Arabidopsis thaliana: one gene and its partners. The protein of the gene in region 2 interacts with the protein of the main gene of each other region in a pairwise test. Each region holds a gene or a part of one and is shown on either strand. Other genes may lie near its edges.

What was found.
Region 1: the proteins of APG9 (region 2) and AT1G27700 interact in a two-hybrid assay, tested with the Arabidopsis thaliana proteins (one large-scale study listed by BioGRID).
Region 3: the proteins of APG9 (region 2) and AT1G16790 interact in a two-hybrid assay, tested with the Arabidopsis thaliana proteins (one large-scale study listed by BioGRID).
Region 4: the proteins of APG9 (region 2) and RBL15 interact in a two-hybrid assay, tested with the Arabidopsis thaliana proteins (one large-scale study listed by BioGRID).

Annotation. Positions count from the first base shown.
Region 1 is NC_003070.9:9,639,318-9,643,802, forward strand, and holds AT1G27700 (Syntaxin/t-SNARE family protein), read right to left. Parts: upstream 2,586-4,485; 5' UTR 2,436-2,585; coding exon 2,359-2,435; intron 2,163-2,358; coding exon 2,048-2,162; intron 1,972-2,047; coding exon 1,483-1,971; intron 1,389-1,482; coding exon 1,202-1,388; intron 1,103-1,201; coding exon 1,077-1,102; 3' UTR 686-1,076; downstream 1-685. Other genes in the region: AT1G27695 (glycine-rich protein), read left to right, coding at 12-56, 384-416, 528-685; AT1G27710 (Glycine-rich protein family), read left to right, coding at 3,233-3,871; TAF4B (TBP-associated factor 4B), read right to left, coding at 4,034-4,185, 4,295-4,454.
Region 2 is NC_003071.7:13,321,497-13,329,340, forward strand, and holds APG9 (autophagy 9 (APG9)), read right to left. Parts: upstream 6,001-7,844; 5' UTR 5,639-6,000; intron 4,900-5,638; 5' UTR 4,798-4,899; coding exon 4,217-4,797; intron 4,116-4,216; coding exon 3,795-4,115; intron 3,373-3,794; coding exon 3,150-3,372; intron 3,003-3,149; coding exon 2,823-3,002; intron 2,744-2,822; coding exon 2,537-2,743; intron 2,169-2,536; coding exon 2,091-2,168; intron 1,997-2,090; coding exon 1,926-1,996; intron 1,831-1,925; coding exon 1,717-1,830; intron 1,621-1,716; coding exon 795-1,620; 3' UTR 554-794; coding exon of another isoform or gene 492-553; 3' UTR 472-491; coding exon of another isoform or gene 441-471; 3' UTR 337-440; downstream 1-336. Other genes in the region: HEMA3 (Glutamyl-tRNA reductase family protein), read right to left, coding at 1-30; AT2G31265 (uncharacterized protein), read left to right, coding at 441-471, 492-553; CDT1A (CDT1-like protein A), read left to right, coding at 7,541-7,844. UniProt on the Arabidopsis thaliana protein: Phospholipid scramblase involved in autophagy by mediating autophagosomal membrane expansion. Cycles between the preautophagosomal structure/phagophore assembly site (PAS) and the cytoplasmic vesicle pool and supplies membrane for the growing autophagosome.
Region 3 is NC_003070.9:5,742,517-5,745,795, forward strand, and holds AT1G16790 (ribosomal protein-like protein), read left to right. Parts: upstream 1-1,818; 5' UTR 1,819-2,121; coding exon 2,122-2,556; 3' UTR 2,557-2,743; downstream 2,744-3,279. Other genes in the region: VHP2;2 (Inorganic H pyrophosphatase family protein), read right to left, coding at 1-51, 121-268, 354-505, 610-813, 955-1,053; AT1G16800 (P-loop containing nucleoside triphosphate hydrolases superfamily protein), read right to left, coding at 3,007-3,029, 3,143-3,279.
Region 4 is NC_003074.8:21,622,666-21,628,392, forward strand, and holds RBL15 (RHOMBOID-like protein 15), read right to left. Parts: upstream 4,037-5,727; 5' UTR 3,978-4,036; coding exon 3,936-3,977; exon of another isoform or gene 3,808-3,935; coding exon 3,757-3,807; exon of another isoform or gene 3,684-3,756; coding exon of another isoform or gene 3,660-3,683; intron 3,149-3,659; coding exon 2,983-3,148; intron 2,805-2,982; coding exon 2,501-2,804; intron 2,258-2,500; coding exon 2,225-2,257; intron 2,135-2,224; coding exon 2,043-2,134; intron 1,955-2,042; coding exon 1,881-1,954; intron 1,724-1,880; coding exon 1,629-1,723; intron 1,551-1,628; coding exon 1,481-1,550; intron 1,399-1,480; coding exon 1,229-1,398; intron 1,149-1,228; coding exon 1,106-1,148; intron 1,016-1,105; coding exon 956-1,015; intron 879-955; coding exon 804-878; intron 715-803; coding exon 709-714; 3' UTR 537-708; downstream 1-536. Other genes in the region: AT3G58450 (Adenine nucleotide alpha hydrolases-like superfamily protein), read left to right, coding at 65-183, 275-392; AT3G58470 (nucleic acid binding / methyltransferase), read right to left, coding at 4,405-4,556, 4,640-4,721, 5,205-5,363, 5,489-5,727. UniProt on the Arabidopsis thaliana protein: Probable rhomboid-type serine protease that catalyzes intramembrane proteolysis. May function in senescence.

The DNA of each region.
Region 1 (4,485 bases), on a different chromosome or scaffold from region 2:
GGAATTCATAGGGTTCGGTGTTGGTTGTGGATTTGGCGTTGGATGGGGTTTTGGAGGTTCGTTCTCAACTTCTCTCTTTTTCTGCTTTTACTTGAACAAAATCTGGACTGAATTACAAGATAATTCTATTGGAACAATTCTCTTGCTAGTTGCTATGGGATGTGCAATGCACTCTGCTGTGCTTGTTTAGTTTTGTGATCATATTGCTTAATGTCTCTTATAGAGATTATCAACTCCTACATATCATCTTTACTCAAATGCTTCTTCTTTCCTAGCTAATGGTTGCTTAAACGCATAGCTAGTATCAGTTGCGCTTACATTTTGATGGATTCATACTATTTTGCAAACCTACTGAATTGGAGATTTCCGTTGCTTTCATGCAGGAATGCCTATGAACATCTTAGGTGTTGGTGCTGGTAAGCATTTCAAACTTCTACTTCAAATATCCCACACTCGCATAGATACACACCGAGCAGGTTTTTCCTAAATTCTAATTACGTAACTTATGCGTCTGGTATTTGACAAAGGTGGCGGTTGCGGGGTGGGTTTGGGCCTCGGGTGGGGTTTCGGGACTGCGTTTGGGAGTCACTATCGTTCATCTAGACTTACATTTCAAGGCATCGAGTTAGAGACTGCCGATAAACGGGAGGAGGTGGTGGCTAACATGTCCAAAAACTCCACTTAAGCAGTCGTGTGCTTCAATACTCTGCTCGGATTGATTGTAAAAGAATTCTGACACCTTTTCTTATTTCTCAATGAAACGGTTACTTCAAATAATCCAATACGAAATGCATTTCTGTATTCTGAATTGTCATTTTTAGAAGGTTCCACTTCAATCTTGGGTTTAGTCCCAAATAATTCTACAATGGTTAATAGGATTGGTGCCTAAGAAAACAATGATTGCTCAATGAAACCCGTTTCAAATAATCGAACCAAAAAAATGCATTTCTATATTACAAACAACCAAAAACAGTTGGAATTTACTGTACAGTAAAAATGTGGATTGCCAAATTCGTCTCTTTCGCTGTTACACAGAAGATGAATGAACTCGAACCTTGCTATTCCAAACCTCTCTTCTACATTGAATGCACTGCAACTACCACTGCAATCAGAAAAAAAAACAATTTATCTCAAAACTCAAAAGTGATGCAGTAAGCTTTGCGTTCTAAACATAAATGATTCAGAGTTCAGTAAATCTTACCAATAAGAAAAACTAAAAGAATAATCCAAATTGCAGCGTGAACCGATTTACTATATCGCATTCGATACTGAGACCGTTGGAGTTGCCTCTGTAGAGCTCCATACCAACCATGAAGCTGCTTTTCATAACAGTCCTCCTCACACTCCATACAACTCTTGCCCCTCTCTGAACATCCATTCATATCTTGCTGAGAAACAAAAAAATAAAAAGCATTTCTTAGCAAAGATTTTCAAAGCAGGAGGCAAAAATCTTGCGGTTGGAGATCGATCGATCAAACTTACTTGGTTAGCTTGGATAGGTAATAAAGCAGCATCAGAGTCTCCTTGACGATCTAAACCCTTCCACTTTCTATTGCAATGCTTGGACACAGGATCCATATAATTCAAGAATCCAGAGAAGCTAGGTACTTTCCTCGGAGGTCGAACCACTGGCTCATCACAAGATTTCTTCACTAAACCATCATCAGAAACCGCAATGTTCCAAGCACTGAATTCAGCAGCACTTGCAGTCCTTCTATGTCCATTAGGATTTGCTTTAGCAGATTCAGATGGACCAGTCAAGAAGAGAGCAAGCTCATTACGATCATCTTCATCCAAACGAACCCATCTCGGTGTTCCTTTCCCATCGGATTGCGCAGCTTCCTTGAGAGATTTCTCGATTTTCGACACTTGAGCTTCCATTACGAAAGTAAACTCACGATGCCTATCTCTAGTTTCATCACTCAAACGATTGTCATAGCTAGATTTGACAGCTTTTTGGAATTCATCTAACTACACCAAAAATATTACAGGTTTCATAAATCAACATTACAGATTAAGAATCTGAGTTCTGAGGAAAGAAAGAAACCTGCCATTTGGTGGTTCCAAGAGCTGCGTGAAGATCTCTATGAAGCTGCTCAGAGTCCCATACTTTTGAAGAGTCTCGTTTCCCATTGAGCCATGTCCTGTACGCTGACTCCATCCTACACATGAATCGAAGATAACAACACACATTGTGAGATTTCAGATCTAAGACTTGATTTGATTAATCAGAAATCGTAATCCCAAATCCGAAGCAACACGAATCGAATCGTCGACATTGCATCACCAACAATGAGAGTTTATGGTATCACAGATTCAAAACGAAAATTGGGAGATGAGGATCCGAAAAACGCAAACCTGTCGGCAGATTCCTGAACTTCTTCAGCAGCGGGAAAGAAAGGATCTTTCTCCCACCGATCCAAACTCGTCGTCATCACTTGAGCAGATGAAAAAAAACAAACTAATTTCCTAATCCTTGGAAGATGAGAAGAAACCCAGAAATGGAGGAAAATGGAGAAGATGGATGGATCGAGAAAGATTTCAGAGAAGAGAGGGAACGTTCGTTCATCGATTAGCCAAATTACGGCCTTTCGTTACACACACGTGCGAAAATTAGTACTATTAATGTTTGGTTTATTCAATGTGGTTCTCAATAAACCGGTCCATAATCTCTAATTCTCTTCATTTTGGTTAACGCTTTATTTATGACAGCATAATTACCAAAAGAACTAGTAATCGAAAGTATGATTAAAGGAAAAAAATATGCCATGATCCTACTTTTGATTACTTATGACTTATCTATCAATTTTATTCATGTTATAATCATTTTATTACAGTTTCATAATTCATTGTTTCCTCTGGAACATATGTGTGATAACCAATATGTTCAAATCAGATCAATGGATTGGTACACGAGTCACTCCTTGTTTTCTTTTATTTAAGAAAAAACTTGAGACTGCAAAATGAATAATAATGAAAAAATGCAGCAAAAAGTGTGGGAAAAATCATGCGAATGAGAACCATCACCTGTTACACCTTTCTGGTGAGTCACCATATATGCACCTCTCTCTCTCTCTACTGGCACGCCCATGCCAACCATCACCGTTGTATTATGTCCCAAGATATATAAATAGTGGTGTGTGTTTGTGGCTGTGTATTATTCAAACACACAAGTCCTTTTACTTCCTTTTTCAGATTCTAAGCAAACAAATTGTGTCACTAAGCAGCCATCATGGCTAGAGTGATCTTGTGGTTTCTTGTTTCCTCGTATCTTTGTCTCATCGGTCATATGATTGCCGAGGCTGCAAGAGAAGGTGCCTCCATGAGGAAGGAAGCACACTCCAGTGGGATTGGAAGAGAAAGTAAGCTCATGAGGAATGAAAAACACTCCACTGAGATTGGAAGAGAAAGTGCGTCCATGAGGAATAAAGCACGCTCGAGTGAGATTGGAAGAGAGAGTAAGCTCATGAGGAATGAAGCACACTCCAGTGAGATTGGAAAGAGTATCCGACACGTAACCGGATTTAAGGGTGAACTCACAGCTGGTGGCTACGGCGGTGGAGGCCCGGGATATGGTGGTGGTGGATACGGTCCAGGTGGCGGCGGTGGTGGTGTTGTAATCGGTGGTGGATTTGGTGGAGGTGCCGGGTATGGTTCAGGTGGTGGTTTGGGTTGGGATGGAGGCAACGGAGGTGGTGGTCCAGGATACGGGTCAGGTGGAGGAGGTATTGGTGGTGGAGGAGGTATTGGTGGTGGAGTCATCATTGGCGGTGGTGGTGGAGGATGCGGAGGTTCATGCAGCGGAGGCGGTGGTGGTGGAGGAGGATATGGACACGGCGGAGTCAGCACGAAGGGATCAGGCAAAAACTAGAAAAAACATGCAGCTTGCTTTAGGTAGTGAAAGGAAGAAGAAATAAGGATGTACTTTAGCATCTTGATCATGTTTAGGAGTTTGTAATGGCATTAGTTTTAATGGAATAAGAACCTTTCTACAAAAAAAAATAAAGAATTGGTCCTATGTCTTTTCTTGGTTTCAAACATCCGAGCAGATTCTATTGTATACGCGATACAATAGCGTCGATCTTGACATCTGAGGCTCCTTTTCCACCACAGCGATCACATCCTTCACAGAGATTGACCGGACTACTTTTGGTAAACCTTGGTTCTTCCCAAATTGTGTACCACCTACATAAAGTTCGAATATGCAATTAGGAGCACGAAACACAAGAATAACCAGCAACAGAACTGAGAGATTTACTCTTTCAGATCATAGAAACGGGATTACCAATCTTACCAGAAAGTTTCTTGGAGTTTCTTCCTGGCCCTGGAGAAGATCTCTGACGTGCTTCAGCCATAAGTTTCCATTTTGAAAACCTATCATCTCCTCCAACGGCTGCACGAACAGCAACATTTGCAGCCTTGGCTCTCTCTTTATCTTCGTCCTTCTTATTTGCCTGACTTGTGATCAATAAACCTCTTTCAGTG
Region 2 (7,844 bases):
AAGAACAACAGAGGCATTAGAAACCGCCATAGCTTTTTGAGTTTACTAGCAATCTCGAGACAGAGACAAAGAAAGAGGGATCGGGTGAAGAGGGATTTTAAGAAAATGTAATAGGCATTCTCAGGTTTATTTTGAAATGTAAAAAGCAAAAAAAAAAAAAAAGTAAGAAGAAATATTTGCATCTTGGTCCTTTATCGTTTTAGTAGAAAATATTTGCATCTTGGTCCTTTCTCGTTTCAGTCTCGAAACAGGATTCCTACTTCACCGAAGGATCACCTTAACGTGGTGTTCTTGGCGTGGAATGCAAGTCAAGCAATTCGGTGTGGTCAAACACTGAGCTCTTAATCTTGAGATTATCCGTTATATCAGGAAAAGATCATCTCAAAGAGGCTTTCGATTCCGCAGAGACCACTGATGAAGTGTTCCGTTTGTTCAAGGAGATGGAATTGTCTTTCGAAGATAACGAGCTAGGTTTATCTGCTCTGTATCAGGTGAGGTGAGGATCCTGAAAAAGGTTCTTTCTTACGCCGATAAAGCTCTTAAACACGATTGAAAAACACCATTTTTAAGGACCTATTTTATATACACAACAATAAAGAATTGCATGTATTGTTAGGATGAAACATAACCAAAGAAAAAAAAAAAAAGAGGAGAGACTTGTTATTATTCCCACATTTTTTTTTCCAAATACAGAGAACACTTTCTACAAAAGCATCTCTTTTATCTTCCTTCTTCATCCACCATAAAAAAGACTGAACAAAGAAACAACTTTGAATCAAAAAAATTCATTGTTGTCACCGTAATGTGGTGCTTGATGTTGAAGTTTCTTGAGGTCTTGAACTATATACATCGTCGAAATGGAGATCAATCCCAGCTTCGATATCGTTATCGTCCATGAATGTAGTTCTCGACAAATTTCTTCTTGCATTCTCTTCCCAATCCAATTCTTCTTCTTCTTCATCTTCTTCTTCTATGCTTCTTCTGCTCCAAGAGTTGTCTAATAAGTTTCCTGCTGTGTAGCGGTTTATAAAATCAGGTGGCTCGATGAAGCTATTGGTGGTTGCGGGATGAGCTGTGCTGATCTGAGAGTGGTTGCCTCTTCCCCACCACTGGTTCCTACCATCAAGAGGATGCTGACTCCCATAACTATCCTCTCCCTCGGGTTGGTCATGGCGCAGAATGCTCTCTCTGAAAAACTGACCTGATGTGCTTGCCTCCATGTTGAGCAGATCTCTGCTATCTTCACCACGGATTCCCAAATCAGGAGGCCAACAATCTGTAGCGTTCTGATTTGCGGTTAAGATTTCATTTGCTCTCTCTATTGGGTGATCAGTTCTGTTGTGAGCCTGAGAAGTGTAATACCAGTCAAGAAGATAAGGATGATTCCTCTGATCTGGATCAATCAGCCACATTGAATCAGTGTGATTGCCGCTCGCAAGCGGATTTCTTGGAATGTCTCTGTATAAAGCAGGGGTATTAGTGCTTTCTCGCCACGCCCTACTAGGAGATGAGTGTCTTGTGTTTATTTCATGAAGCTTTCGGTCCCGGAAAGTTCTGAGATTTGACAGAAACTGCTTCCCAAGAGAATCTGACTCCCAAGAAGGATAACTACTCTGGAAACTGCAAATAAAATGTAACACTTAACACTGATTTGCATATATTCCAAGAGAATTCATATGTTGCAGAGAAAAAAACAGACAATGAAATGCCTCAAACCTCAAGAATGATTTCTCCATTTTCCCTTGTGAGCTTCTCTGCTCACGACGAGTTGCATTATGTGGTGAACCATATTTGATATTTCCATGGTTCTCAAAGTAGAAAGCACTAAAGCTGCAAGCGAAACGGCCAATGATCATAATGTAATCCTTATTGTAAATTTCTTTAAAACAATTTCTGGACAGGATATGACTAGAAGAGTTGTTTACCTGCAAACATGGCCTACACCTTCAATATCAACTGTGAAATCCTTAATGAATTGCAAGATGTCATCCACCCGCTGGAAAGTGAACTCAAAATGTGTGAGACCACAATCATTGTATATTCTCAATTTTGACGTGGGGTACACTAACGCGAATGTGAGAGAAATATACCTTTGGCACGACAAACATCAGCAAAAATGGTGTGATGAAGATTGAAGCTATCTCCTCCAATAGCATCATTCCAGTATACTGAGGTGCAGAAATTTTCATTAGCATCATTTATATAAATTCATTCAGAAAGTAGTAGAGACCAAGAAGGAATATCATAAAAAGAACCCAAAAAGTTAGCAGAACATCCTATTGTACCCTGTAAGTAGCTCATCTTGCTGCTTAAATTCATTACATTATGAAGCTAATTAAGTAAAAATAGGTGTAAGCATAAATTTGGCATTCACTATTCAGCGTATTATGGAAAATAAGACTGTATGCAGTTATCTTGACAGTGTCAAATAGAAAACATTCAGAAAATTTACATGAAAGATGGCAGTGACTAAATATTGATCTTTAGCTTAAACAAACTGTTTGTAAAAAAAGAAGTTAATAAGTTAACATGGTACCTGAAACAGAGTCTCTAACTCCAAGCGGACATCATCCTTGTTCTCCTTTCCACGCCATCTCTTAGGCATATAATGAGTGTTTTGGACCACCAAAGACATAGTTCCTACTGGGTCGAGGACCAAAAGTTCATCCGATATGGCAGCTCTACTAATAGCTGTAATTGTTCCAAAAACAGCGGCATACCAGAACAGATTGCGGCCGAATATCTACACAGGTGGTAAAAGAAACTTCAATACCCAAATAATTTATCTATCAAATGCTTTTTGCGTTGTTAGTATTTCTTACATGTCCCTCAAGTAGAGATTCTTCAAGAAACGCAATGATGATTAAGACAGCAGCAAAGCCGCCAGAAACAAACGAGACAAACTTTGCAATAATGGAGATGATAGGCGAGGGAAATTGCTTTAGATATTCGGATGCATGTACTACACTGCTATTAATCCGATGCTTGAATAAATGGTCAACCTGTTGTAGAAACAAGAAGTTTAGAAAAGGCATCACATTTATTTTGAATGGAGAGAGTCGGAAAATTTCAAAGGTTTACTAAGAAATCAGAATTAAACTCCGTTCACACGACTTTTGTGGGCATGGACGCCAGATGAAGGCAACTACCTCATTGAATTCCCTGAAGAGCCACTTTGACAAATTGGACCATCTTCGAGAAGATGCAGTACTTGGATGATTGTAGAACTGTTCAGCATGCCTTAGGAATAAATACACCAACATAAAGATGACAAGAAACGGTGACAGCAGAAGCATAGCAAGCCCAACCACAAATAGTCGTTTCTTCAGTGTTGTAGGATTTGAAACAAAGTCCCTTCTAACACGAAAATTGCTGCAGAATGAAAACGCCTGAATTAGACAAAACGGACAATTCTTAGCATGTGCAAGGAATTTTTCATTCTATGGCCTTACTCTTCACCGTAGTACTAGTAGTTAACTACGAATATGAAATATAACATACACGCACTTCGGCCACTCCCATGTAGGTTCTAACAGGACAATCTTATTAACTTACGCAATTTTTCACTGACGTAATATATATACAGGGAGAAAACCTCTAACAGGACAATCTTATTAACTTGAAAAGATCACTACAATCTGACCAAGAAAAAGCAAATCATCAAAACTGAAACTTCCATATGCATCACAAACTCTCCATTTATCACTATAGCAGTTCATAAAATCCTATATCTACAATGTTATTAGAAAGCAGTTTTCAGATTAGATCAAAGATTAGCGTGGAGAATAGCATACCAGTCAAACATGCTCTGCAATATGCACCAGTTAAGGGTCCACTCAAGGGTCTTTGTCAATACAAGGTGATACTGTGTCCCATCTGGTGCGGATTTGACTGCTGGACCAGCACCAGGGATCCAATGGGAAATTGGGAAAGAAAGCAAACCTTTGTTGAGCATTCCAATCAAGTAGTTTTCTTTCCGCATAAGGCGCATAACCATATCATGAGCAGAAAGATCCTTAACCACACAAAGGCATTGTGAGCTTTGTAACTGAACAACCTTCTCAAGGACTGTTGCCCATGGCATAGTAAGGATTTCATTGTCTGTGACATGGAGACTGCAAATTTACAACAAAAAGAAAGAAAATCAATTATGACCTAAAATGCATGTTTTGCTCTAGCAATAACTATTCATAGCATGTTGCAACTTCCAACTTACTTGTTGTAATAAAAGTGCCGAAAGTCCAAAGTATCTTTCAACTGGGCAAAAAACCTTAAGAAGCAGAAGAGCCAGTACACAGAGAAGAGGGCCAAATATCCAACAATTATAGCAGTTGTGAGCGTGAAAGGGGATAAAGGATGCGGATGGATAGCTTCTTTGACAAGATCACATGGTTTAGTTCCTGATTCAACTGCATCCATTCCACATTTTGCATTCTGAAGACCATTCCAATCAACATACAGCAAGAAAAACCCAGAGAAGCATATGATGAAGCCCAGACTTAGAAGCTCAACAGCCCACTTTACTATAATACACCAAAGTCCTTTGTCTCTGTAGTAGCTGTAGAGCCTTTCGACAAAAAGATCCAAATCAGCAATTGGTTGAACATTTAAACTCTCTCCATTAAGAAGTCCCGATGGGCTCTCACTACCAGGACTTGGTATTCCTCCGTAGTTAGATAGCTCAATCTCGTGTGACTCATTATGAAGCAATCCAGTAGTCAAAGACGATGATGATTCACCACGTTGCCATTTAAAAAAGTTACGTACATTTGGACCCTTATGCCCACTGCTCATCATTTGTAAACACAGACGATTGGCCAAAACAGCCGGTCCATTCCCTGCTTACCACGCGGAAATTTGAAGAAAGTGTAGTGCGCAATGAGAATGCAACTACAAATCCTGCATCAAACATGAATAACATAAAGCATCCACAATGCAAATCACCTAATGACAGAGATAATTTATGTATGCAAACAAAAAAGTGCCACTAAAATGTTCAAGCTAGAAGCACATACAATGAATATACTAACCAATGAGACACTAAGGCAAATCAAATCCTTAAACGCAGAAAGACAAACCAAGGATACGGAACTCGTGGCATAACCTGCTAAAGAAATGTTTCTATATCTGTTTTCCACCATGATGGATATAAACCAGACCCACCTATCCTTTGCTTGACACTCAAAAGACTATTCGATTTCAAACACTTCCTTTCTTTTTCAACAATAGCATTCATGCACAAGCAGAATCTTTGGACAATGCACTAAATGCCTAGCACTCTGATGACAATTGATGGTGCAGAGAAAGCGAAGACGAAGTAATCTATACTCAATCAAGAGGCTGACACAAGATTCACGCAACCTTTGCACAACCAATAGACCTTGATCAAAGTCAATTACCTAAAACCAACTCTATTTTTCACAAGAAGACGAAGCAAAAACGGCGAATTCCTTCCCAATAGAACAAGGGGTTTATCTACTTTTAACAGGGAAATGATCAGGAGCAATACGATTCTAAATTGAAACCTCAAAAACCCTTAAGCTAACACTATAATCTCCTCCAACCTTAAATCACAGTGCGATTAATCAAAAAAAATCAACCTTTCTCGATAACAGCAGATGAGAAAATCAAAACTTACCAGAGACCCACGAAAGGAACAGCAATTAGAAAGCGAAGGTCTATAAGCAGCTAGGAAGATATAATTGTCTTAATATCCGAAGCTTTAGAGAAGGAGGAATCAAATACAGAGGCTATGGGCAATGGAAAATTCGATGAAGAAGTTGAAAAGACAAGAATTTGATCGACGAATTTAGGGGAGAAAAGCAAAAGAAGAAGACGAAGAGAATTGGGTTTGCGTGGAAGAAAAGAGGAGTGATAAAATATTGATGCTTTGGAGTTTGGAGTACTAGTTTTCAATTTTCGATTTGGGCTTTTCTTCTTCCTCTTCTCTTCTCTTCTCTTCTATACAACATTACTTAACCAAAGAAACGTGATCACGAGTTCTCTTCCTCTTCTATGATTTTGGTTTTACTTTGATCTTTGGTTAAAAAGGTAATCTAACATTTATTAGCTTGAATCCAAAAAAGTCTTTGCACACACAAAAAAAAAAGTCTTGAAGCCAAAAAATTGTAATTTTTCTTTAATGTGATATATTGAATTTTATTTTAACAACTTGTATAATGGGCCGATTGTTTTGAGTGGGCACCGGCCCAGATTCTAAACAGACCCAAAAAAACAATAGTTAAGATGTACATTATATTACTAACTTTAAAATTGAGTTTTGAAAATATGATAGTGAGTCAGTTGACATAAATTTTGGATCTAGATCAGATTCTTGGTATCAAGATCAATATTTAGTCTCAGAGCATAATATAATACAAATTGATACATCTAGCTCCTTTAATTTTTTAAATGTTAATCAAAAATAAAAACTCATGAAAGTTATAATTATTTTATAACGGCATTATATTTTTTTTTGTCAACTAGACGATAAACCGATAAAAGAAATAAAAATTGGTATTTATTATTATAATCATCAAAACTTCATATATTGACATAAAACAACAAATTTAAATAAGAGTATATAGAGAAATAATAATATCGGAAAGTATAACATTTAATAAAAAGAAAAGTTGAAGTTTTGTTAGTAAGAAAATAGTAGTAATGACAATTGAAAAGAATCTCATAATCATTGAAAATTTATTGAATTCTTTGATTTAGAATAGGGATGTGGTAATATTCAATGTTTAATATTTATGTGTTTTCTTTTAATAATCAATATTTATTTCATGATTTTATATAGATTTCCTCATTAGCAAATATAATATAAAATAAAATGGAAACGACGAACCTTAATAAGAAAAAGTTCAAGTATATACAGAAATAACAATACCGGAAAAATATAACATTTAATAGACAAATAAAATTAAAGTTTTGTTAGTAAAATATTAGAAATGACAATAGAAAAAATATCATAATCATTTAAAAACTGTTTAATTCTATGATTTAAAATAAGGATGTGGTAAATATATTCAAAGTTTAGAAAGAGAAACATAGAAAACATAAACTAAACCATTGATTATATTTGATTTGCTGGGCTAACTGTTTTATCTTAATATTTTACTGTTGATAAGATTCCTTATGATGAGATTATCTTTGATTTTTCAAAAAAACTATAAATACTGAACAAGCAGCATAAACATTGCACGACGACCTTATATAAATCATGTTCATATAAAAAAAATCACAAGTTGAAAAAAAGAAATCTGGTCTCTTTGGTTTGCATCTATTAGATTCGTTCAGAGACAGCAATTCATAATGGGCCTAATTAATGGGCTTCTTCGTAGATAAGTGTTTTCGCGGGAAGCAACGGGTTAATAGGCGCGGGAGGTATACGTGGCTTTGGTACACGTAGGATTGCGCGCCAAAGACCTAAATAAATCTAAACCCTTCTTCTTCTTCCGTCGTCTTCATCGTCTTCATCTATCTCCTCCACTATCTCCTCTCTGCATCTGACACTCTATAGACATTGTTGATAAAAATGAGTACACCAGGCTCTTCTAGATCCATTCCATTCAAATCGAAGAAACGATTGGTGATGGATTCGCCGTCTTCGAAATCTCAAACCGGGAATCCAAATCCGTCTTCTGTAGCATTGCCTACGCCGGAAAAACCACTTGAGAACATGCTTAGTAGATCGAGAAACCGATCTGTGGCTTTATCAGTGAAAGAAATTCGTCAAGCCGCTGGATCTCGTCGCAGATCTGAAGATCCGGTTGCTTCATCTGCCAAAAGCAGGCTCTTTTTCGATTCATCATCATCTTCTCCTTCAAAACGTAAAAGCT
Region 3 (3,279 bases), on a different chromosome or scaffold from region 2:
AGCCATACCAACAACAACCAGAGCTGAGAATCCACCAGCACGAACAGCTATCTGCATTAAATCCATCACTTAGTATTTGGCCATGTGTACAGGAATTCCTATTAATACTAAAAAACAAACCTGCAATGCTTCCCTTGCGGATCGTCTAGCAGCACTGGAAACCCGTACATTAGCACGAACTGACACCCACATTCCAACATATCCAGCAATACCTGAACATAGCGCACCCAAAAGAAATGCAGCAACAGTAATGTATGCAGACATTGTCCTGAAGCACAAAGTTATACATTTGAGTTTTATTTATAACAACACAAAAGATAAAAGAAAAGATTCTGTAGAAGATGTATGATCACCTTCCTAAACCAGAAGCCTCTTGCTGGGGGGTTAAGTTACGGAACAAGTATATGCAAAGGATCACAAAAGCTAGCAAGAACGCCATTTTGGATATAGTACCATACTGCGTTCTTAAAAATCCTTCAGCTCCATCACGTATAGCATCTGATATCTAAACAGAAAAGAATAAGCTCATAGCACAGAACTGAAAATGCAACTGAGTAACAAAGAAGACACAATCACGAATAGAACAAATTAAAACTTGTGTGAAATTACCTGAACCATTTCTGGAGGTCCTTCATCTTTGGCTAATACCCACTTGGTCAGGTATACTGACAACATGAAACTGATGATGCATACTACAAAGACGAACACAATGATGGGAGAAGTACGTGCTCCCATGTAAAAGATCCCTCCAAAGCTCAAAAGCAGAAGTACAGAAAGGGCACGAACATTTAAATTTCTCAGAATGCGGATTATCTGCACAAAACAACTCATTATAAAGATACCAAAAGAAATAGAAATAAAACCAGATATAACACCAATACATATTTGTATAAATATGACGGTGTTTAGATGCAAGAAAGATATGCTCGAGAGAGAAGGGTATTATGTCCTAACCAATGGACTGTAAGTTTTACTACGCATATCCGGGAAGGTCCTTGGCTTGTCACTGTAAGAAACCAGAGTGGCCTGCTCAACATCTTCATCCATCATCATGTTTTGTAACGAATTTGCCCTCCGAACAAGGGGAAGAGGTATAAAACCCGTGCTACGGGGCAGCTCAGCCCCAGAACTTGGACGCTGAATCTTGATACGCTACAAAAGACCCTCCAAAGGTTTACCACAGCATAACAAGAGAACTAATCGTAACCCACAAAGTCTGACTATATCTTGATCAGCTTCTTCACACTTTCTCACTCGGTATTGACTCCGAGAGAAACACCTCCCATATATAGTTTTCAGCATAAGAGAAGATTCTGAAATAAAACTGACAAGAATTAAGCCCCGGAAAATTTCTCTGTATTAATCGGACACCATGAAATTCTACTGTAAGATTTAGCTAGACTTATCGAACACCAACATTTTGTAGATAAACCAATCAGATCTAAATTCTCACTATCATGATCTAAACGAAAACGAAAACGTAAACGACAGAGAATTAGCGAAATTGTAGGCAAAATAACAGATACGAATAATATTTGTTTCCGAAATGCGAGTAAGAAAACCCCTAAATCGGCGAAACAGTGAAGACAAATTACAGTTTCAGAGAATGGTCAGAAGAAAACCGCCATCAACTCGAAGCTTGTCGTCCTAGCCGAAGAAGCGTTCTCCACTCTCTCTGTCTGTTGTCACCGTAAATCCTAACACTTCAGAGGTTAGTTTACACTCTTTTGTTAATTTATTTCTCATGCCGGGTTAATTGGACAATCCTGACTAATGAGTTTTTGACACGTCATCACAAGGAGCATTTTTTCTTAATAAGCCCCACTTAATAATATAGATTTTAATAATTTCCTCCTAAGTATTGTTTTTAGGCGCATTAGGCAATATTGTTGTTATGCTATCATTTTACCATATTAAAGGAGATTACTAGTTTCACAGTATTCGTGGGCCCAAGCCCAACAGACAGTCCATGAAGAAAAATTACCCAAAGTTGATTTTTAAAATATAAATAAAATCAAATAATTATCTTCCGTCTCATCTTCCAACCCAGGAGCTGTACTTTAGAAAATTTCCCAGATAAGAGATTCAAATTCTGTACTTGTATACCCGGCGGAGCAGAAGATGAAGCAACCGGCGACACCAAACGCGGCGGAGGAAACCAAATCAGAACAAAAGCAGAAATCGAAGAAATTCCCAACTCCGACGGAACTAATCTCTCACTACCAGAAACGAGGGCTGGAACCAGCAGAAGCTTCAATAAAGGTCATCGAAGATTTACAAAACGCGCTCGTCCGAGTAGTTTCGTCCTCCAGAAACGCCTCGAGCAAGGATAAGCTTGTAACCGACGCGAGGAAAATCGACGCCATTAACGGGAGGCTTGCCGTCGTCGACGCGAAGCTGGAGACGAAACCTGGATACGTTGAGACTTTCGCGTTAGGGTTAGCTTCTGGTGCGACACTTAACGGAATTAGCGCCGTTTGGCCTCACGTTACCAGAGGCATTGGTCAAATTTGGTCCGCCGTTAGGATCGGGACGGATCCTTCATCTACCTCTTGAATTGTTAGAAAGGAAAATTCTAGGTTGATATGGTTTCTTATGAGTTTTTTTCCGGTGTTGTATTTAGTGAAATTTGAGTATCAGCGACTTCAATCTTTGTACTGTTGAACAATAATCTCATTAGAAAATTATCCCAATTAATTTTGCTCTAAAACAAAGAAAAGACAATTTGTTAAACAGTTTTTATCATAATGGCATGATAATATATACACAGCAAAATAAAATTTCATAGCAGGCAACTTTCAACAAAATATTGCAATTTGAGTTGCCAACACTAAGTTAGCCAAAATTTTCTCCTAGTGCTAGTTTCAGAGTTAGAACATGAGAGAACCTATGATGAATGACGCCAGAGGAAACTATAAAACTTACCCATGAAACCGGAAATTAACAACTGGTTCACGATTGTGGGAAATAACCTTTGTGAAATCAGTTGTTTGTTTGTTATCTTTGTTAACTGTTGTTCTTGGTTGACTCTGCAAATAAGAAGAGTGTAAGTGAAATTCAACATTAAGACATACTAATTTACAATTGCATATCAGCTTCTGAGGAAGAACATAAAGAGGTTCGATATGTAATGAAATCTTACCTTTGATCGCCTTAGGTGGTCTTGTATGACTGCCGGCGGTTGAACCTGGGGACAATGGTCGCTTTGGAGGTTTAGGCTTATGTGAAGGAATCAGAGACGAATTGAGAATGGCAGCAACAGCTTCACGCTGCTGCTTT
Region 4 (5,727 bases), on a different chromosome or scaffold from region 2:
TCATAAGAGTTTAGGTTTATCAGTGATCTTCTCTGTCTCTTGAGTTTATGGTTTTATGTTGTAGGTGAAGACAGAGACTATGATATTGGAAGGAGATCCTAAGGAGATGATATGCCAAGCCGTCGAGCAAACACATGTTGATCTTCTTGTTGTTGGTAGCCGTGGACTCGGCATGATCAAAAGGTACAAGTTTCATTTTTGGTCTAAGGTCTAACAACAAATTGAGATTTCTGGTTGTGACTATTCATTCATTCCTGGTGTTTGAGATATACAGGGCATTTTTAGGGAGTGTAAGTGACTACTGTGCCCAACATGCAAAATGTCCAATTCTCATTGTGCGACCGCCTAGAGAAACCTCAACTAGTAACACGAAGGAACACAAGAGCAAGTGAGGAAGGAAACCATGTTATAATAGCTTCTGTTTCATTCCGTTTGTACTCCGTAGAGAAGAAAAAAAAGTGTGCCGCCAATAAACAAGTTTACTTTTGCAAAGTAAAGTTCTACGTAGAGAGATTTTGCAAAAAAAGAAAATTTCAACTGATCTTTCGTTTGTATTAGATTCTAAACCGGAAAATCGGTTTGATCGTCTGGTTAAAGAACCTCCTTAAAGAAAACAGACGCTATACAGTTTCTAAATGCAAGTAAAAGACAGAATGAGAAACAAACGTTACAATACAAGCCAAAACAGTACTTTGCGAGTTGTTGGTGTTAAGCCTGCAAGTTTGATCACAGTGGTTTCGTTGTTAGTAGTGCCTAAACTCTAAAAATGAGTTAATAGAACTCTAGTTCGGAAAAGTTTATACCTGTTGGCTCATTAGGATCTCCACTGCTACGGTGAGATCATCGTCGGCAGCAGCAAGCGCCACTTCCACTTGTGTCTGAAGAAAATCCAGAGACTTTAAGCCATCTATTTACTATTGTTTTAGTTAACGTTGGTATGAAGCAAGAAACGTACCCTGTCAAAGCCCATGGCTACGAGTTTCTGGATTTGTTCTTCGGAAGCAGCAACACGACCCTGTGTTTTAACAGCTCAATAAGAGAAAAGCTTCTAGAAGCTGTACAAGGGTCTGGGTCTGAGCCGAATATCTTAGAGAAGAAAAGTAACCTGGGATTGGGGCAGGACTGCTGCATTAGCTATTGGCGCTTGTCTACACACGGTGAGACATGAGGGTGAGGTTGAAGAATGGCGTAATAAGCTGATAAATCATAAGCTGAAGAAATCAAATACCTTGAATCTGCCACGGTGTTGACAGTTGCATCAGAAAGGCGGTCTGGAGAGCTGCTATCTTCCAGCAGTCTAGCATGGAGGTTTGGGTCTGTTTCTCCAGCTGGAGCAGTAGGATCTCGGGCAGTGCTAAGAGTTCTACCTCTCCCCGGAAATCTACTGTCCTCAGAAGACTGCATGTGAAGTAATATGGTTAGATGTGAATGCATCCACCATGGTAAAGAAAAGAAACTAACAAGATTAGCATGAACGTACCTGATTAGATGCTTCCCTCTGTGGCAACCATGAAGACAAGGATCTCCAAGCATTTCCTGTAGAGAAACCACTGGTCAAAGAAAAAATGTCGTTAGGATATTCTCTGGGCAAACAGTCCAGTTTTTCATATGTTCTTAGGAAACCACACCTGGATGTTGTGTTTTGTGCAGAATAAGTGGGAATATAGCTGGAAGGATTCCCGCCAGTACACATAATGAACTTGGGTCGCCTAATGAAGCTAGACTGGAAGAGGACATAGAAACTGGATGAGTTACGATTAACTCAGAGAGCAACATCAAGAAGCCAGATCTGCATGAGTTTTAAATCCTCGATGGCCTCTCAATTAACAAAGAAAAGGAAACATCAAGAAGCCAGATCTTCTTAAGTACTTAGTACTTACCATCCAGGAGGCTGACTCAATGGTGGTAAAAAATGAAGAGCCAGGCATCAAGAAATTGAAGAGGCCATAAGAATCTGAAATCCAAAGCGACTAACAAATTAGCTCCCCATGAAAATGCAGGTTTAGAAAGAAGATGACAATGAAAAAGGTCAATAATCATACATGAAAATCCAGACAGGATGCCGCATAGATGCCCAAGCAGTGAAACATTTGTCATGAGAAGCTGGAATACTATTAGTAAGATCCACGGATACCTACACATGGATACAAACTTTTACATCATATGAGCAACAAGAAATGCAGGTGGGCATTAAGATGCCAACAAGCAAGACAATGGAGCTTACAGTTTAGCGGGAACGTTGAAGAGACCAAACACACTGCACAGAGAAATAAAGTAGCAAATGAAGAAATATGAGATGCTTCATGAATACAAAGAGTTGGCAAAAAATAGCCCACATTCAGAGGACATTAAACGCATATCTTATTAATATGTGTACAGACATGTGTAGCATTAACATGTTTGGAGAGAATGTATCTGAATTCTAACAAGAAGCTCATATTTACTTGCACTTTGATCTTCCAGAGTCTAAATCATTTAAGTAGCCCTTGAAAATTCTTACCTTCTAGAGGTAACTCCACTGAGACTTGTCTCTATGACAATCATAGAAAACAAGATTCCAGAAAATCCAATGGCGCATTCATTCATGAGATGATCATATTGGTAGAAGGGATTATATCCCGCCAAGGATGCTATAAGAAGATGCAATACGGCATTGGTCGTTGCCAGCAAAACTGTTAGGTAAAGCAAACGGACAGATCCCATGATTCTCTCCAGCTCAGAGCCCATAGGAACCAATGCCATCATGTTGAACAGAACATGAAGCAGTGATCCATGGAAAATAATGGCTGTATAAAACCTATAAACTGCACAGATAACGAGAAACGAGTGAACAAGAGGAAACAAAAAAAATCAGGACAGCTCAGGCATCTGAATTTAAAATTACCAGTTTGCAAGACGAAATAACTTTGGAAATGTAAGTTTTAGTGCCAATAGGAATATCTTCTACATGACATGCAAGCCTCAATAAATATGAGAACATACCTTGGAACCTCGATATGATTGCCGAGGGTAAGAAGCATACTTCATAAAAAGTGTCATATCCAGTTAAGAGGCATATCAGGTAAATGACCCCACAAACTACCACCACCGATGACGTGAGGAAAGGTATGGCATTCCACCACTGTCCAACTCGAGTTTGAACCCCAGCCTATGAGAAAATAAAGAATACATAACTAACCAGAAACAAGACCTTTACCAGTTTATAGGCTTATATCTAAACATTGTGCCGATTATCTACTTGGTTGGACATAGAAACCTTCTAATAATATTCAACCTTATGAATAATTTCAGAAATCTTCAAACAAAAGTATGATCCAGAGTCACAGTTGTATAATAGAATGGTGAAATTGTATTATTATACCTAAAACTTGAAGAACTAATGAAACAACACAAACAGAGGCTGCTATAACCTATTTTATGAAGAGAATGTTTCTACTTTCTACAACGAACGATTGGCCATGAAACTGAAGTTATGCCGAATTGAACTGCTAATTAGTTAACTCTACCGAATTAAGAGACGGTCGTACTGATTTCTGCTATCAGCCATAGCTCGTTCTCACTAGGAGTTTCTCGGTAATTAAACAAGCTAAAACCTCAACAATTTCTGACTAAGATCAAGGAATATAAGCAATCAGAGCAGAAAATTGAACAGATCTCACCTCGGTAACAATGTTCGGCCTCATAATCGAAGTCGCGAATCAGTCCTCTTCTCTGATGCTTGCGTGTGTTTGAATTTCAATGACCATGGAAGAAGACGAACAACTCTCGTTTCTCTCCCACCGTAAAAGACTCTTCTCGAGATCTTAACTTCTTCGCCCGGTTTAGCACTTTGATTCTGGTAAAGTTTGTAGAACCGGGTCGGACCAAAAACTTTTTATTCGCTGAGAGCAAACATCAATATTTCATCTCTTCCTCGCAAATTATAAAGTTGCAACGGATTGAATAATTTTTTGTGATGAGCTAATTCCGTATGTCATGTTGATTCATGATGCAATAAATCATTTTGGTAAATATGTTGAGATTTTGATAATAATGTAAAAGTATATCAGACTTGAGATCTGCGGTTGCAACAAGATACAGAGAACGATTGAACAAAGTGAGGTCACCAAGAGAACATTGATGAAAAATATCCAACACACATGAGCCGATGAGTGTTCCCTGCCACAAATGTTCCTCCGCTGCTAGAGGATAAGGGCTTGAAATGCCAGACACCTGAGATTGGTTAAGGCGCATCGTCATAAGAAATTAACAGCAACTACATGAACAGCAAAAGGGGATGACGTGAACGCGTGAGATGGATTTAAGCACATTGCTTTTTGTGATCAGAAGGGTAAAAGAACAATCACTGGTTTACTCAAGAACAGTCAAAAGACTTTAGAGAAGCAACTTACAAGCAAGTCACAACTAGCTGTCTTCTTCCAAGCCTCCTAATCTGGTACCTGGATCATAACTTATAAACAGTCGGAACTCGTTTCCGAGTTTGCTAGAGTGATGAGGCTTAAACACACAAGGGCGAACACCCAATAGCTCAGCTGCATGTTCTCTTTGCACCTCTCCTGCAAGACGTGAGATATCTCCTAGTTAATAAATCATAAGATCATATAAATTTGACTTGAGAAAACAAAAGTACCCATTGTACCTGTGAGAAGAAGCAACAATGAATCTACTGGGCTTGCGAGGAACAAAATTGTTTGACTAACTCTTTCCAGGCATTCCCTACTCTGCCAAGCATAAACGAATCAAGATCATTAACACGCTAACTAGAAGGTACTCAAAGACATTTATGCTTTGAAGATAGCAAGCAATATAGCACACAAAAACATCACAGATTAATGATATCCTCACAAGTCACAAATACTCCTACCCGGGAAATATTTCAAATGATAATCAAAACGCAGCAGAGAGCCACAAAGTATCCATCTTTAAGAAGTGACACTAAGCCATGACCATAACCAACTGATACTCCATTGTAAAGCTTACACTTTTTTTCTTTCATCTTGTCTGCTTTTGGACTTTCTATAATCTTTTAAAAGAAGATTAATTTATAAGCAATGCCTATCTAGCAGAAGCTTCTTGAATGTCAGAAGTTCAGAGCAGATTACACATCAGTCTCTAAACCTATCTATCAAGGGGCAGCTAAAAGATTTCCAAAATTCCCATGAAAGAACAGCATCGGAAAAGTTAAGAACTTGAAGAAACTTTACCAAGTAGGGAGGATCTGCAACGATTATATGGAAGCAATGTTTCAGCTGAAGCGGCAGATCTTCTGGTTCGTTGTAATCATAGAAAGTGAACTCTTTTCCATATCTCTCGAATCTCATATCGTACTCCAGCAATTGCACCTGAAGACTAGGATCTCTTTTCTGACTCAGCACAAATCAAAACCCGTCGCACAGAAATTTAGCATCAACGACAACAAAAGTATCGATTTTTAGCAAAACGGATTCGATACAAATTAAGGGTACTGAACAAAACTGATTAATAGTACCTTGAGATAAACGTAGAGAGTAGGGCAAGCAATGCAAGCGACTCTGCAGCCTGGAATTCTTTGAGAGAGAGTGACCACTTCATCTGCTACAGTCTCTGCAGTTTCAGGTTCGTACCAGAACTGGCTGAGTCTCCAATCCTCCGTAACCAGCTCCACTTTATCGGATTCTTCTCCTCCGGCGACGGAAGACGCCGGTGGCGTGCTCGCAACAGTCTTGTTCTGGTCTGCTAGAAATTCCC